Linked DNA regions of Bombyx mori. The protein of the gene in region 1 purifies or fractionates together with the protein of each later gene. This does not show direct contact. Links are inferred from orthologs where the notes say so. Each region holds a gene or a part of one and is shown in the gene's direction. Other genes may lie near its edges. The genes, in order: putative methyltransferase WBSCR22-like protein and multifunctional methyltransferase subunit TRM112-like protein.

Region 1 (8,967 bases):
TAAGCGAACGAGGAGGATCTTCTAGTAAATATGACGTTGGAATTTCTGGAAAATGTCCTATATAAAGGTCAAACAAGAAGAATCAAGTACTCAAACGCAAGAAATAAAAAATACCCCGAGAAAAGCAAAATTACGACAAGATGTTAAGGTATTGAAACAAAAACTTAAAAGTCGCGAAATAGTGATTGTAAATATAAAGTCGATTTTAGATTTATTAGAGAAAAATGGCGATTTTTAATTGAATTGAAATTTAAATTGCGAAATTTTAATGATACTGATGGTCCACTTAGATATTGATTAAAATAAATTATGTATTTCGTTGAAAAAAAAAGAATTTACTTAAAATAGAGGAAATGTTATATTATAAGACTACAGAAAATTAACTGAACTTAATAATAATAATATGTATAACCAATATTTTGTAAATAGAGATCAAGTACTATGTGTATCGTGTTATGTGTATTGACTTGTCATTTAAGAGTTATTTAATTGTCTACATATAACAAATAAATGAATTTCAGTTCATTTCATTTTATTACCCATTGTGTTTTATTTCCTAAAATGTAACTAGTAGACCTAATATACACGTGTCATGAAAATAGCACAGAAGTAAAAATACAAGCAATTTTAAATCAATTAAAGATGTGAATGTAGGAAAAGAGCACCCGATATGCGCAGACCATGTCTGTTCAGTGTCTCACTCAGTGTGTCAAATATTAATTTGCACGGCCCACTTAGCCAGTACATTAAAGTAGGAATTGCGTAATTAAGTTCAACATAATATATTATTTAAGTCGCGGTTGAGTATTCGGACGTTAAACATGAGTTTGTGGAAGTTTAAGTAATAGAACTGAGGTAATGATGTTTATAATAAAACTCAGTGCTAGATTTTCGACAACGCAGCAATTTCCAAAAAAAACCGTCGAAAAAAATCACCATGACGACGAAGCAATGTTTAGAATTGAATTTACATAAATAAAAGGTTGCAAGCACGTGTTTTGTATTTACATAGGGTTACACAGAATTACTTAAGGTAAATTCAAAACTGATGCATGTGTATAATTTTGTCCTATAATTAAATTATATATGGTCACCACATTAGACAAGGACACCGCGACCAAAAAGTATTCTCTTTCGAGACCGATTTCTCGGCATTAGACAGCACTCCAGTTGTAGGTACATATTAACTCCATGATAAAAATACTATAGTTTTATTTTTCCAAATGGAAAGGCAAAGGTATTACACCATACAGCGTAATCTTTTATATATATTTTGAAATGAAATGAAGCTGATTAATATGAAACATTGAAATGAAATTAATTGAAATGAGATGATATGATATGATATGGGACATTTTTTATGAAAAATGATAATATGGAGTGAAATGAAATAAAGAATTTGAGACATTGATCAACTGGGATGAAATTAAATGAAATGAGATGAGATGATATAGGATGAAATATATTAGTAAAATGGTGGTCGTTTACTGAGATTTTTTCAGTGCACTTTTTAGAGGATCCCGGGAAGTTACGTCCAACGGCTTGGGTTTCCAAAGGCCAAACCTTTGGTTTGGGCCAAATTTTCCCCCCCTTGCCTTTTCATGAGTTTTGTCTCATGCGAGGTTTGGACGTTGGTTGTTGAGAGACAGGAGGTTTTAGTCGGTTCGACTCCGACATGCCTCGCCCTCCATCCCCAGTGAAGGGCGGAAGTCCGGCGATTTCCTCCTGACAAAAAAAAAAAAAAAAATGTAGGGGTGAGGCGTATATATCGGAACAGTCAAACGGAACAGGTTCGTCTATATAAAAAAACTTGGAACTGTTGTCTATAGACCGAAAGAACTGTTCCACAATATTCCATATGTTGCGTTGTTCTATTCCACAGCATACAGCCAGAAACAAAACAGTTTGGAACAAGTTCTTTTCCCTTTTCACGTACAGAAAGAAAAATATAGCATATACATCCTGTTCCCAAACAGTTTGTAACATGTTCTTTTTTCCTTTCGCTTATTGTAATAGAAAAAGATAGCAATAATATTAAGAAGCATGCACATTTCAAAACAAAACAAACAAAACTAGTTTCATATATCATTAATATTAATAAATCAAGTTGTCAGTCCTAAGCCTGAGAAAGCATGAAGGATTGTTTTCATTTCAGAAAATGTATTAAAACCATTTCATATGTATAACTGATCCTTTATGTGGAACATGTTCTACTTAAAACATCATTAAACCTGTAACAACACAACAGGCTGTTATATTGGAACAGGCTGTTATATTAGAACAGGCTTTATATTGGAACAGGCTGTTATATTGAAACGGGCTGTTATATTGGAACAGTCCATAGAGATAGTATTTGTCATCAGGTTTGAGCCCCGTAAGATCACCTACTAGCCACGGTTACGCTGAAATAGCCCCTAAGGCTATCAGCTTAGGAAGGAAAAAAAAAAAAAAAGTTAGTATTTTTCTTTTTAACTCCATGGAACAGTCTGTTATTTTGTAACAGGCTACTGAATCAGGAACAGGTCTCTAAGGTTACAGACCATCCCTAATTTAAGTACAGTACATATCTAATTTATTAATCTGTAGATTTTAAGTAGGTCGGTACCTAGTACCGTAAAACGGGGTGATTGAGATTGAGCGGTGAATGGGGAGAAAACAAGGAAAATCTTTGGGCACTCAATTATCGAGTAGAGGGAACTCGCTCTCGTCCCCATCATCTGACGGCCGGAATCCGCGCTCTCCCCGTTATTATTTAGTTTTTATATCAATGATATACCCTTCGTATCTACTACTCGTGTAGGAAGAAGTCGCTATTGCATCGGCGACTCAAGATTGCAGTAACCACCACGGGACAGTGGTTCTGGAAGTGGCGCATTCACATCAATCCTACGAAAAGCACAGCGGTGCCCTTCAAGGGTCGCCCTCCGGATACCACTTCGAGCAGCTCACTCGCTATTGAAGGCTGTTGCTTAATCCCTTTAATTGTATCCTTATGTTGTCGGTTTGTACCCTCATTGTGTCGTTTTAAGACATTTACCTCAGCTGTCATATTACCTAACAGCACATAAGGTGAATGTAGCTTTATGTGTATCAGTCGGGTGCTCACTTAACCAAGATGAAAAGTCCTTGTTAGTTAACCATTCAGAACGAAATTTCTGTTTATATATTTTTTTTTATTTTCACCTTCCTGAGTCTTTGGTTTTTTGGAGTAGGTGGGCCATCACCATCACTAATACTGTAAGGAGTAGCGCATGCGGTTGTCCATCGCTTATAGTCAGTCGTACATAGACGGCCCGACACTTGTGACGCCGCAAACACTTGTGACAATATACGGAGTAAAATTGGACCTCATTTGTTTTATTTATAAAGGGCAGCTATCACCTTACATACCTGGAAACCGTACAATTACTGTCTATAGTAGCCATTTTACAACACACAAAATGATAAAATGATTTTTTTTATTGTAATGATAGGAAAATTTGCCAGGTAATCGTTACATTGAAAAGTAACAGAGCAATATTTTATTTAAAAAAAAAAATGAATCTTATTATGTTGACAAAATATATAATAGTTCATTTTATTTTATTTGATTACATAAAAGTATGTATATTCTAATCCATTAGACTATTCTATTTGGTCAGCTTAATAACGGATGAACCATAGATAATACACTTAATATTTGAGATGAACCGTGGAATGAGCGCGCCGGCGCCGGCGCGCTCATTCCACGCATAAAAATTCCCTGATTAGATTTAAAAAATTGTCATATTAATATAAATGTTACCTTGTCTAAAAACCATAATGACAATAAAAATGTAATAATAAATGTGTTATTTTATTAATGAATATCAGTAACCTTGATATTCATGCAGTGCAGAACAATACTGAACCACCCTTCAGTACTGCTAAAATGATGACTGCTACAAATTGCGTGTGCAGAAGTCACTATAGAAGACTGGAGAAAAGTCGTAGAGAAAACAAAGAAAATAATTTTATACGATTTTGAACGAGATGTGAGAATAGACAATATTATTGAAAATTAATTAATAATATCTCGGAGTGCTGACAGCAGTGATGAAGATGACAATACTAATAACAGTTCTGATAGTTCAACTGAATAAATGTAATATTTTTGTTAAATTATGTATTTGTCTTATTTTGCTCTTTAAATTTACGAAAGAAAAAATAATAATGGAACAGGGATTCGCCTGATGATTATAAAAATTCACATTATAATATGTTTCAAGTTCGTATCGATTTATTCACATTAAACGATGTTTTTAAGCAGGCTACCTCACTATGAAGATAAAACTGACAAGTGACAACGTCAAATGCTACATATTATAAGTGGTAAAATGACTCAATACTAAATATATTTAAGTCTGTGGAGCAAGCCGTAGATAAGTAGTTTTTACACTTATTATTTTAAAAAGCTACATACTTCCTAGTTCATAAAATCATTTTATTAACGAGCACATACATATGTAGATACTTACTAAACACTAGGTTCATTTAAATTTGATTGATTTGAAAGTGATCCTTATATTGATGTAAGATGTCAAAAAGACCAGAACACCAGGCACCGCCTGAAGTTGTGAGTATAAGCTAATGTAAATATATTGTTTCAAATTTGAACAAAAAGGCACTATTGTTATTCGAATTATTTTTGTTCTAGTTTTATAATGATGAAGAGGCTAGAAAGTATACACAAAAGTACGTAAGTAAAAGTAACAAGGTATTGCGAATACTAACCTTTTTGCTAATGGTGGCACAAATGGAATTGTCTCTGAATTGTTGTAACCCAAAATATAATGTAAGTGGGCGATAGTGGTGAATGAGCACAACCACAAAAATCCACAACCTTCCCATGTCTAACGTCCTACAGTTTCATTAGTGTGGGAATTCGGGGGGCTTAATACTACATTTTAAAATAGTAAAGTGCTGTATAAAGTTTACAATAGAAACCATTATTGCAGGCAATCAACCCATCTAATGTTAATTAAATGGCCCCTGTTACTTATTTACTACAGTAATGTTTTATATTTAAACTGCAACTAAAGATATTTTCAAACTTCAAGTAAAAACAAGTACCTGTTTCTCGACGAACCCGTCGCTTACGACGAAGGGCTCGGCGACAAAATTAACCCACAGACATAGCCCACTGAGTTTCTTGCCAGATCTTCTCAGTGGGTTGCGTTTGTGATCCGGTGGTAGATTCTGCGAAGCACTGCTCTTGCTAACCCTAGCACTTACACGAACACTAACCCTAGTGTTAACGTCGTAGTTTGGGACTGGTGAGCTCACCTACTAATTCAGTGAATCTGGAATAACTCCTCAAGGTTACTAGAATAGGTAGGAAGCGATAAATGTAGAAATGCTAAGAATGATTGTCTTGTACTACAATGTTAATGATACTAGTTGGACAATATTTGCCAAATTCATTTGAGCATGGGGTTTATTGTACAATCCAGGAAAAACCTAACTATTTGTGAGATCTGGATTATGAACAATCTGAATGCTTCCCTCCTAATTCCAAAAATGTCTTTCCTTTTTTTATTAACTCTTTTTGAGAAAAAATTGTGTTTGATTATTTTAGCTCCAGGATCATAGAAATCCAAGGACAAATGACTGAGAGATGCTTAGAATTACTTCTATTACCGGAAGATTCATCTTGCTTGTTGTTGGATATTGGATGTGGTTCAGGATTATCTGGTACAGTGCTAGAAGAAAATGGACATATGTGGATTGGGATGGACATATCATCTTCAATGCTTGGTAAAAAATATTTTTGTCATCTGGCCACAGAAAGTAGCCTAGTCGATACTAGACTTAATTGGACACATAATGAGACATAATAAGACACATGACTTGTACCTTAGGTGTTGTATTTTTTCTCAGTTTTCACTACTTATAAAGATTGTTAATAACTGAAAGAGAACAAATTATAACCTGACAAAATTAAAACCCAAAAGGCTATTGGGTTGAAGTGACATTTTTGTAATTTTATAGAAGAACCATTTTAAATTTAAGTTTTGGAAAATTAATCATAATAAAACAGCTTCTTCAGCTATTTGAAAGTAGTAAACATAATTGATGTTCAACTAAAAATATTGAAATATAGATACTAATACCAAATAAATAGCATTTGTAATGTCACATAAACAGAATAGCCTTTCACCTTTTGATATATATCCTTGTTTCCTAAAGCCCAAAAAAGTATTTTGGTTCTTAAATTACACTATATATAATATGTCTATGTTGTAGATGTTGCTGTAGAGAGAGACACTGAAGGTGGTTTAGTTCTGGCTGATATGGGTGAAGGTGTCCCGTTTAGAGCAGGTTGCTTTGATGGAGCAGTATCCGTATCAGCTATACAATGGTTATTTAATGCTGATAAGAAAACTCATAATCCAGTGAAAAGACTAAACAAATTCTTCACCACTTTATATTCAAGTTTGGTAAGTTAACTATGAAAACGGTATTATTTATTATTCAATACAAAAACTCAATTATTATTTTTTTCAGTCAAGGTCTGCTCGAGCTGTCTTCCAATTTTACCCTGAGAATGAGAAGCAATTAGAACTCCTAACGACACAGGCAATGAAAGCTGGCTTTTATGGAGGAGTTGTAATTGACTATCCAAATTCTGCCAAAGCAAAGAAGTTCTTTTTAGTTTTAATGACTGGTGGCGTTGGTCCTTTACCTCAGGCTTTAGGTAATGTTGTATATATCATAAAATTATATCACATTAAAATAATACTATAGTGTGATGCTAATAAAAATGATGAAACCCACTTTTTTATATAATAAAATCAAAATTTGTATTACAGGTACTGAAGAACCAGACAGTCTTCAAGTTAAATATGCTAAAAGAGAAGCTACAAAAGGGATAAGAGGAAAACCTATAAAGAACTCAAAAGACTGGATTTTGGAGAAGAAAGAACGAAGAAGGAAACAGGGCAAAATTACAAAACCTGACACTAAATACACAGGAAGAAAAAGAAGTGGTCGATTCTAAAATAAAAACTGTTTATTATTTTGTATATCTAAGTAAATAAATTTGTTGCAACTTAACTGATTTTTACTTCATATTTCCAAACAGTGTCTACACCATGTCCAATAGTTTCTACAGGCACCATTGTTGGTAATGGGAATCGACACGCGACCACTACTGTGCGCTCTTGCGTTTCATCTAAAATTTTATTTTCTATATCGTGCATCATTTGCTCCACACCAAATATTACAACATTATTGTAAGGTTTGAGGTTGAATTTCCATAAATCACAATGATAAAACCTGGTATCATAATATTTTTGATTCAATAAGGCTGATATTCGTGAGTAATAAACAAGGAATGGATTTAGTTCTACTCCATCTGCTTTAAAACCCATTTTGGCTGCTGTTATTACTATTCTTCCATCACCAGATCCAATATCTATTAGTCTGCCTCTTCTGCCCTTTAATGCCTTCGTTACTCCTAGTAACTGTTCTGTTGTTGCAGGTACATAAGGCAAACAAATTTTCCTTGCTGCTGGAGACACAAAAGGTATACAAACGATGCTGACACCAATGGCTAAACCGCCCGTTGTGTATATTAATATTTTACCAACGAGTGACAGCTTTGACGGAACATTATAAATTTTATCCTCTATACATTCCGATTCCATTATGCAATGTGATCATAGATAATACACTTAAAATTTAAGAAATGTGAATAACCTATTTCATAATATTGTCCCGCAAACCTCCAAGAATTCCAGTACCTACTGACGACTTATACATCATAATTAACAATCCTTTTCATTTTTAAAACAACTTTTTTTTTTGCTTTATTTTTACTGTTGGATTTAAGCTCTTAAACTCTTCATTTGAGCCCTACCCTTTTATGTATTCTTAATAGTTATGTACTAGTTATGTTATGTACTACTACTATTAAAATTTTTAATATAATAATGTGACGTATGACATTAGGTGTTATCAACACTTGTGATTGTGACACTGTCAGTACTGTCACACTATGGGTGCACTTTTTTTTTTTTTTTTTTTTATATTTTGACTCGCACGGTTTGTGCATTTGCCACTACTAGTGTGGAAAAGGTAGGGAAACCAGTTTTATTTAGGAATCAATTGGAAGGTTCGAAATTTGGAAAGGATATGTATGTAATAGGATAATAATATATAATAATGCCTAAGAGTTTATAATATATAGTGATTGGGTATAAATAAAAAGAATATTATATTTTAAAACTGTTTACATTTTAATATTATTACTAAATAAAAAATTTGATATCAAGTTATACAAATCAGAATTTATAGTACTTAATAATGTAGGGATTGATGTGGGAAGAGGAACCCGGAGGTTTATCAGGGAATTTATGAATGAGGAACAGTCACGTAGGAGGCATCCAAAGAAAATGTGATTCAAGTCCTCCTCACCAACGCCACAAGCACACAAACTGTTGTTAATGACACCGAGTTTAGCAAGGTGAGAAGCTGTACAAACATGTCCCAATCGCATTCTTATAATACAGGAGGTTGCAAGCTTACATAGACTAATTTTACAGAACCACATTTTTAGAGGAATTCGTGGCTGTATATTTTTATAATAACGGCCTTTATGGCAGCTAGAGCTATTCCAAATACTTTCCCAAGACCTCAGTAAATGGTCTTTAGGAGTGGAAAGAAGGTCAGACACAACATTTTTGTAAGGTGACATATCACCACTATTTATCGCATCTCTCGCAAATTTATCAGCTATTTCATTCCCAAGTATTTTGTGATGGCCAGGTATCCACACAAAAAGAACATCATAACCTTTGAGCTTACAATTTAGAAGTAGCTGTCGACAGTCCATTATATAAACACAAGTTAAACAAGATTTGAAAGGAAATTTCTGCAAAGCTTGTAGAGCACTTTTCGAGTCTGTGAAGATGATGGATTTGTTAAGTTTTGCAAGTAGAATATATT
Region 2 (7,639 bases), on another chromosome or scaffold:
CGTACATCATCTTCCTGCCATGCTGGAGTTTCTCTATAATTTAAGCTTGCTGCTAATAGCCTGAAAACAACAAAGTTAAAGTTATCTCAAATGTATCAGTAGTGCAAATAGAACACATTTTCAAAAACCAAAAGTATATCATGGCATAACAATGTCTTAAAGCGGTTTGTTTACCATATTAAGTATGTCAAAGCTCGGTTCACGTTTTAGATCTGTCAAAAGTAAGTGACTAGCACTTACTGCAGCAGCCATTTATTGACAAACAGTGTAGTTGCGCACTTAATGTGTGCTTAAAGATTACAGTCAGCTTACCTATGAACCATAATGTCAGCATATCTCCTAATAGGACTTGTGAAATGAGTGTACAGGGGCACATTCAGAGCATAATGTTGAAATTCATCATCATCACAAGCAGCAGCACAAAAATATTTTGCTCTTGTCATAGGTTTTGCACATAGCAAATTTAAAACCATGGCTCTTCCTTTGTCTGTATTGTCTGGTCCCACATATGGTAGTAAAGATCTGTGTAGATGTCCAGCCGATTCGATATCTAATTTTATGCCCATTGGTTTTAGAGACTTTTCTAGCTGCATCAACATATATTTACTTGGTGGTGGATGACTCCTTAAAAATGCCAGTTTTGGGTGGTCACTATAAATACGTGTAGCTACAGACATGTTAGCGAGCAACATGAATTCCTCAATGAGTTGATGGCTTTCTTTACTCTCATATATGCAGTATGACTCTGGTAAACCACTAGTAGGATTTAATCTAAAACTAGCCTTAGGTTGATCAATTCTCAATGCACCATTCTCAAATCTATTTGCACGAAGAATATTTGACAATTTGCCTAAAATTTTTATTGATTTGTGCACATCTTTGTAATCAAAACCATTGTACATTTCTGGAAATTTTATTTGAGCATCCTCTTTGTCATCAAGAACATCTTGAGCATGTTCATATGCCAACTGACAGCATGAATTTATAACAGTCCTAGCAAACCTGTAACTAATAACTTTAGCATCCTTGGTCATTTCCCAAAAAACAGAGAAAGCTAGTTTATCTACACCAGGGAATAGAGAACAAAGCATACACAAATCATCTGGAAGCATGTGGTAAGCAGTTTCTACCAAATATATTGTTGTAGCTTTTTCTGCAACTTTCACATCAAGCGGAGTGTTTTCATTTAAAAAATATGTAACATCAGAAATATGGACTCCGATCTCATAATTACCATTTTCTAGTTCCTTGCAAGAGACTGCATCATCAATATCACGGCAATTAAATGGATCAATACTAAAGATACATAACATCCGACAGTCTTCTCTCTTTGCTATTTCTTCATCGGGAATTGTAAAGTCAAGTTGAGGATACAAATCCTTGTATTCAGAGCCAAAAGCAGTAACATCTAAATCATTTTCTGCTAATATTGCTTTTGTTTCAGTGACCATGTCTCCTGATTTACCAATATTACCCATAATTTTTCCTACAGCAAACCTTGTATCAGACCAATCTATTATTTTTGCAACAAACAATGTGTTTTCATATTTCTTGGCATCTTCATAAAAATTATCTGGCCATGAAGTAAATGGTATATTTATTCTTGGTACTCTGTGATCTCGAGGCACGAACATAGCTTTTTGTCTATTTTTGTCATGCATTAGTTTGAGTGAACCAATACAAGTTCTAGTATGAACTTTTTCCTTGATAAAAACTACTTTCCCTCTTTTTTGTTCAGGATTAGTAACGTTTTCTTCAGGTTCATTTTCAACTAATTGTACTATTACTACATCTCCTTCCATTGCACGATTTCTATTCTTAATACCGTCTATTAATATATCTTGTTGACTCCGGTCTTGACTTGAAACATATGAATGTTGATATTGTTTTGGATTTATCCTCAGAACACCTTCAATAAGCATATTGTTCTTTAAACCTTTCTCAACATCTTCTCCAGAAAGGTATGCATCAAATTTCTTGTCACCATTTACAAGAGTTTTAGTTAAGCAATTGTTTTCTGAATTATGCCTCAGTCTGAGCTGTCCAATTTGTATTGTACCAGTTTGTCTTGAAAATGATGGATTCAATAAGGGGTGTTGCAATGCATTCTCTATGAACCTTGGAGTGCTAGGTTCAGAATGAATAAATGTAGAATTTGGAATACAAACAGGTTCTGATCTCTGTCCTGATAATATTAATGGAGTGATAGGTACACTAGCAACATGCTCTGGGCTTTGTAAAATATCTCTCATGTGTTGGATATTCTGCATATATTGATATTGTGGATGGTGACACAGATTTTCTAAATACCTAGAGCTGGTACTTGCATACAATGGTGTAATCTGTTGGGTAAAATATTCATGCACAGAGAATGTACTATTTCTAGGAGACCCAAAATAGTTAAATAAATACTGTGAATTTTGTACTCTGTTTGTGTTGTTAAAGTTATTCACTGGTACCGTAGGTATTTCCAACTTTTTTAGTCGTTCCTTTTTCTTGGCGTTTTTTCCTTTCGACGGGGTAGTTGGGGTTACCTGTTCTGTCTCCCCGTTATCACTGTCGCTTTCAATTTGCAAATTCTGGCACTTATTGGAAACATCGTTAATTGATGAATTGTTGAATACCATGGTAGGTACTGTAACTTCTGATCTTTGTTTTTTTTTTGATTTTTTGGGTGTTCGTTTAGGTGAATCGACTTTGTTTTCATTTATTGCTTTGTCACTTGATGTTTTTTGTGGTACTGACGACGTGGAGACCACCGATGTTGTTGGTTCACTGCATGCTGCATCCATTCTTAATGAGTTATGGCTTGACATGGCGCAAAAAAATAAAAACTGTAAAATACTTATAAGCAGGTATGGAGTATTACAAGCCTGCTGCTTTTGTCTATAAATGTGAATGATTACATTTCTCCTCAATATTTACAATAATTTTACACAGAATTATACTCAATTTAATATTTTTAAATATTTATGTACGGCCAACGGCTACAAGACCTTATATCCATTCTAATTTAAAAAATGTAAATATATTTTTTTTCAACAATTTAATATAAATGCTTATCCCTTCCGAATGCAAAGAAAGGTCAAGCTAGTAAATTGACCGTCAGACAGAGCCCACTGAGTTTCTCGCCAGTTCTTTTCAGAGAATCTCGATTCTGGTCCAGTGGTAGATTCAGAGAAGCACCGCTCTAACTAAAGCTAGTGCTAGTAAGTTCTCCATGCTGAGCCTACACGTTCGGTGAACCTGGCTTATCGCCTCGAGGCGCAAAAATTTTGTACCAGTTTTCGAAAAGTAGTAACAATAATAGACTAATAGATTACATTGAAGAGACTCGGGCAAATTACTATTAATCCATTATTTATTTTATTACTTTCTTATTATACTCTGCGCGAGTATCACCTCGAGCTACGACTGAAAAGGTGAACAAGTTACAACTTTTTCGCGGGAACGCGAGGAGTGAAGTTGTGTGATTTGTTTTATTTTGTCTATTTAGTGTTTCTTCAGATTGAAATGCATAATAACGGTGGTTTATTAACTGTTTAGTATCTTTGAAAGTGCACAAATGTGGGAAAATAAAATAAAGCCGCTGGACGTAACTTATCGGGATCATCCAAAACGTCCATTGAAAAAATCTCAGTAAACGACCAACATTTTACTGAGATTATATTTCATCTCATCTCATTTCATTTGATTTCATCCCAGTTGATTAATGTCTCAAATTCTTCATTTCACTCCATATCATCATTTTTCATAAAAATACCCATATCATAATTATCATCTCATCTCATTTCAATTCATTTCATGCCATGCCATTAAATTAATCAGCTTCATTTCATTTCATAATATATTTCATAAAAAAAAAAAAATCTATAACAGACTAGGCTGTATGGTGTGATACCTTTGCCTTTCCATTTGGAAAAATAAAACTACCACTACTTACTGCTGTCAGGTCACTACTCACTACACAACTGAACAAAAACTAAACATAACCTCAAATATCTAATTATGCACGTAAAGTACATAATAACAAATATGTTTTAAGAAAATTCTACAAAAAAGTGCCAATAATCTTAATCGCTTGGTTCTACTCGTGAAAAGCTATTATTGTCAAGACTTCAATTCCTACTGAAGTTGCATAATACAAATATAATAATGAAACTAATTACCCACAATATGCTCACTTCGAAATGCTTGAAAGGTGTTGTGACTGGCTATCCTCTTGCAATTAACGCGACAGACATTAAAGTTAAAGAAGTCGATTTTAATCCTGAATTTATTAGTCGTGTAATACCAAAGCTGGATTGGGAAGTATTATGGGTGGCCGCTGATAGCATCGGCCACAGTGATGGTCTGCCAAGATCTTTAGAAAATAAGTATGATGAAAACGAAGAGTTTTTGAAGAAAGCTCATAAAGTCTTGTTAGAGGTGGAAGTTGAAGAGGGACACTTGACTTGTCCAGAATCTGGAAGACAATTTCCGATTTCTAAAGGAATTCCTAATATGCTATTAAATGAAGCTGAAGTGCAGTAGTTCACAATTTAGAGCCTGTACTAAAAATATTAGTAACAAATTTTTTATTTAAGCATTAATTTTATTGCAGTAACATTACATAGGATTGTTTTATTTTTTATGTAAAGAAGTGCTATGGTGCATGTAAATTTGTTTCATATTAAATATTTTAAGAAATGTACCATTACTTTATAATTTCTACAATATAATTTACTGTGAAAGATTTTTATGTAATCCTTGTATACTAAATTTTAAGTTGCTTAATAGGTAAAATCAGTATGAGGCTGCTTCAGGATTCTTGATAAATATTTGGGGAAAACTTTCTTACGCATATGTTGTATACTAAAAGTATCCTTTCAATAAAGAAAATATTGTTTTTCAATTTATATAATAACTTAACTGAATTATTGAAATGAGGTTATGTACTGTAAACGTGATAACATGTACAAAGCACTGAGGGCACCTTACTTAGAAAATACCAGTGTTCACAGTAGAAAAATGGTGACAATTTCTGACATTATATATTTCCCTATGATACGGTGATTGTATACTGTCAGTCAACGGAACGAATTTCGCCCCAGTAAGAGGACTGAACAGTCCTCGCAGTGTATATTGGAATATAGCCTTTACTGCACACTTTACTCTATTTAAAGCTGCTATATTAATTCAATTACCACTACCTGTACTAATACTATTTTAGTGAGCTTCAAACAATAACCTGCTGTATACAGGCGGACACTTTTTCAACTTGTACCTTAAACAAGATGGTACTTCTTAGTTGTATCCTCAAGGACGTTAATACTGATAACTTCATACTAGTTTAAAAGCTAGGACACTATTGTAAGTAATTGAGACTTCGACCTGTAATAGTATAATTACATCTTTTATGGCTGTAATGGCTTTTAAATTAAATTATAAATGATAAGAATTATAGATTTGAAGCCAATCACATGACTGCTATAATCTACAAAATATAACTAAAATTAGTACATGAAAAGAAAGCTGTTACTCTAAACTCTGAGTATAATTACAGTGCGTTTGCATTATATACACTACCACTCAAAAGTTTGGAAATACTAGGGTAATTTAAATATAAACGTCATTAAAACACACAAGCCATTATTTATTACAATTAAATCTGAATGAAATCAAGCAGTAAAATATATATAGTGAAAATAAATAATAAAATAAAATACTTTTCATTAAATATTAGGAGCTAAAGTATGAAATTGCCCCTATTATTTGCCTCGTTCTTTGGATTAATTTAACAAAGTATTCGGAGTCAGAGTAACTTCTATTCACTTTGTAAATATTTCCACAATGTACTGAGAATGATTTTTTATTTTTGATACAAAATTTCTTTATTTCGTTTTAGCTCTAAGAACATCAGAGATAATTTTTTTGAATGTTTGGGGTCATTGTCTTATCGGGGGCTAAGCTTTCCTTTATGGTCCGTCGATTTGGAAGTTCACAATTTTTTTGTAGATAGCAATCATAAATAGAAAGCTTTTTGCAAATTTTCAAGTTGCGGAAACTCACGGTTTACGAAATATAATTTTTTAAAGTTTCCCTAAGTACAAATTTGAAAAATCGTCAAGGTACCACTGAAGTAGGAAACCTTTATGTGTATAATCTATGCCTAGGTTTAAGCAAGGTACACGTCAAAGTTGACGTTTCGAGTTTCATTCACGGTAAACATGTATTTTATTACAGAAATATATTTTAATTTAATCACATTTTGTTCTAATTAATGTGCACAGTAATTGTTGCTGTATTAAGCAACTATATTGACTTTTGTACACAAAATGTAACGAAATAATGTTTACACTATGAAACGGAACGTGAGCTAACGCATTTTGTTATAGCGTCTTTATAACTGTCTGTATTAAAATATATTTTTAAATAAGATTAAATATAACAATAATAAAATTGCTCGTGTTTTAGTAATAAAATTTTCGATATCCGAAAAATATCCAAAACCGAATCAGAGCATCCCACTTTCCACCTGGTCTTGTCTGCCCTACCCCTAGTGTATATAAAAAACCGGAGGCGCGGAGGGAGAGCACTCCTCGGCCGCTGTGACGGAACATGGGAACAGCGCGAGGGGGAGCGGCTGAGGCTGGTCCATCAAGCCGAAGCTGCGAGCGGAGTGTGAGTGACCGTGCTTCGGCACGCAAGGGCGGAAGGGCTGCTCTTCCCGCAGCGTCGGAGATAAGGCGGTTTCTTAGCTCCCTTCGAGTTTAAGTAAATAATGCTATTTTAATCTAAACAATTAACAATGGATATCTTTATCACCATGGGGATGTGGGCTGGTGATGGTGCAGGGGATAAGCCCTTATACCCCTCCCTCCTCGACTCAAAATTGATAGACCATAATTGGAATTCTAACCCTATGTTGACTAAATAGTGGTAATCTAAACTCAAAACATTAACCGTGAAAATCTTCATAACCATGGGGTTCCGCGGGGTGGGGATGATGCAGGGGGTAAACCCTTATCCCCTCCCTACCCCCACCCCCACCCAAAAATCGACGGATCATAATGGAGCCCAGGCAAACGTCGATTTGGGTTCGATAATATTTTAACGAACGATCTTCGTGTTTTGGCGTAGATTTGGTACATCCAGCTTACTTATTTCTGGTCTTGTTCTAAATTTGGATCTTGATCTGGTCTGTTCAAAAGAAATCTGTTTCCTTCCTTTTTGCCATTTGATGTGCCGGTAAACTGTTGTAATTATCACACGAAATCACCAAATACACTGAACAGATTATTGGGTACATTATCATAGATTATGCACTTAATATTTGAGATACTATTTACTACGATGAGGCCCGCGACGCATGCTCTAATCAGAAAATAGTTTTAGTAAAAAATAGCTTGGTTAATATTATTCTTTGTCAAAACATATAATCAGTATTAAAATTAGGTATTATTTATCTTTTTTATTCTTCCATTCTTTCCATTTATTCCCAAGGCATCATTTAAAAGTGAAGCTATATTTTACTATTGTTGGGGAATAACTGGAAAATATTTTTGAAAATAAAATTTTCTGCGGCCCTCCAGCTTTTGTAGTAAACTTAATTCGCCTACAAAGGTATGCAGTTTAAACAGTCCTAGTCTAGAAAGTG

Evidence for each region.
Region 2: the proteins of putative methyltransferase WBSCR22-like protein (region 1) and multifunctional methyltransferase subunit TRM112-like protein purify together in Homo sapiens (affinity purification with mass spectrometry; 5 studies listed by BioGRID and IntAct, counting the BioPlex papers as one, with this or other methods). This does not show direct contact. The link is inferred for Bombyx mori from reciprocal best matches to the Homo sapiens genes BUD23 and TRMT112.

The regions. Positions count from the first base shown.
Region 1 is NC_085122.1:5,819,462-5,828,428, reverse strand, and holds putative methyltransferase WBSCR22-like protein, read left to right. Parts: upstream 1-4,336; 5' UTR 4,337-4,555; coding exon of another isoform or gene 4,556-4,594; intron 4,595-4,675; coding exon of another isoform or gene 4,676-4,682; coding exon 4,683-4,717; intron 4,718-5,596; coding exon 5,597-5,775; intron 5,776-6,264; coding exon 6,265-6,458; intron 6,459-6,525; coding exon 6,526-6,715; intron 6,716-6,830; coding exon 6,831-7,018; 3' UTR 7,019-7,070; downstream 7,071-8,967. Other genes in the region: ATP synthase subunit C lysine N-methyltransferase, read right to left, coding at 7,071-7,667.
Region 2 is NC_085117.1:12,727,210-12,734,848, reverse strand, and holds multifunctional methyltransferase subunit TRM112-like protein, read left to right. Parts: upstream 1-3,969; 5' UTR 3,970-4,155; coding exon 4,156-4,533; 3' UTR 4,534-4,898; downstream 4,899-7,639. Other genes in the region: DIS3-like exonuclease 2, read right to left, coding at 1-60, 313-2,816. UniProt on the Homo sapiens protein: Acts as an activator of both rRNA/tRNA and protein methyltransferases. Together with methyltransferase BUD23, methylates the N(7) position of a guanine in 18S rRNA.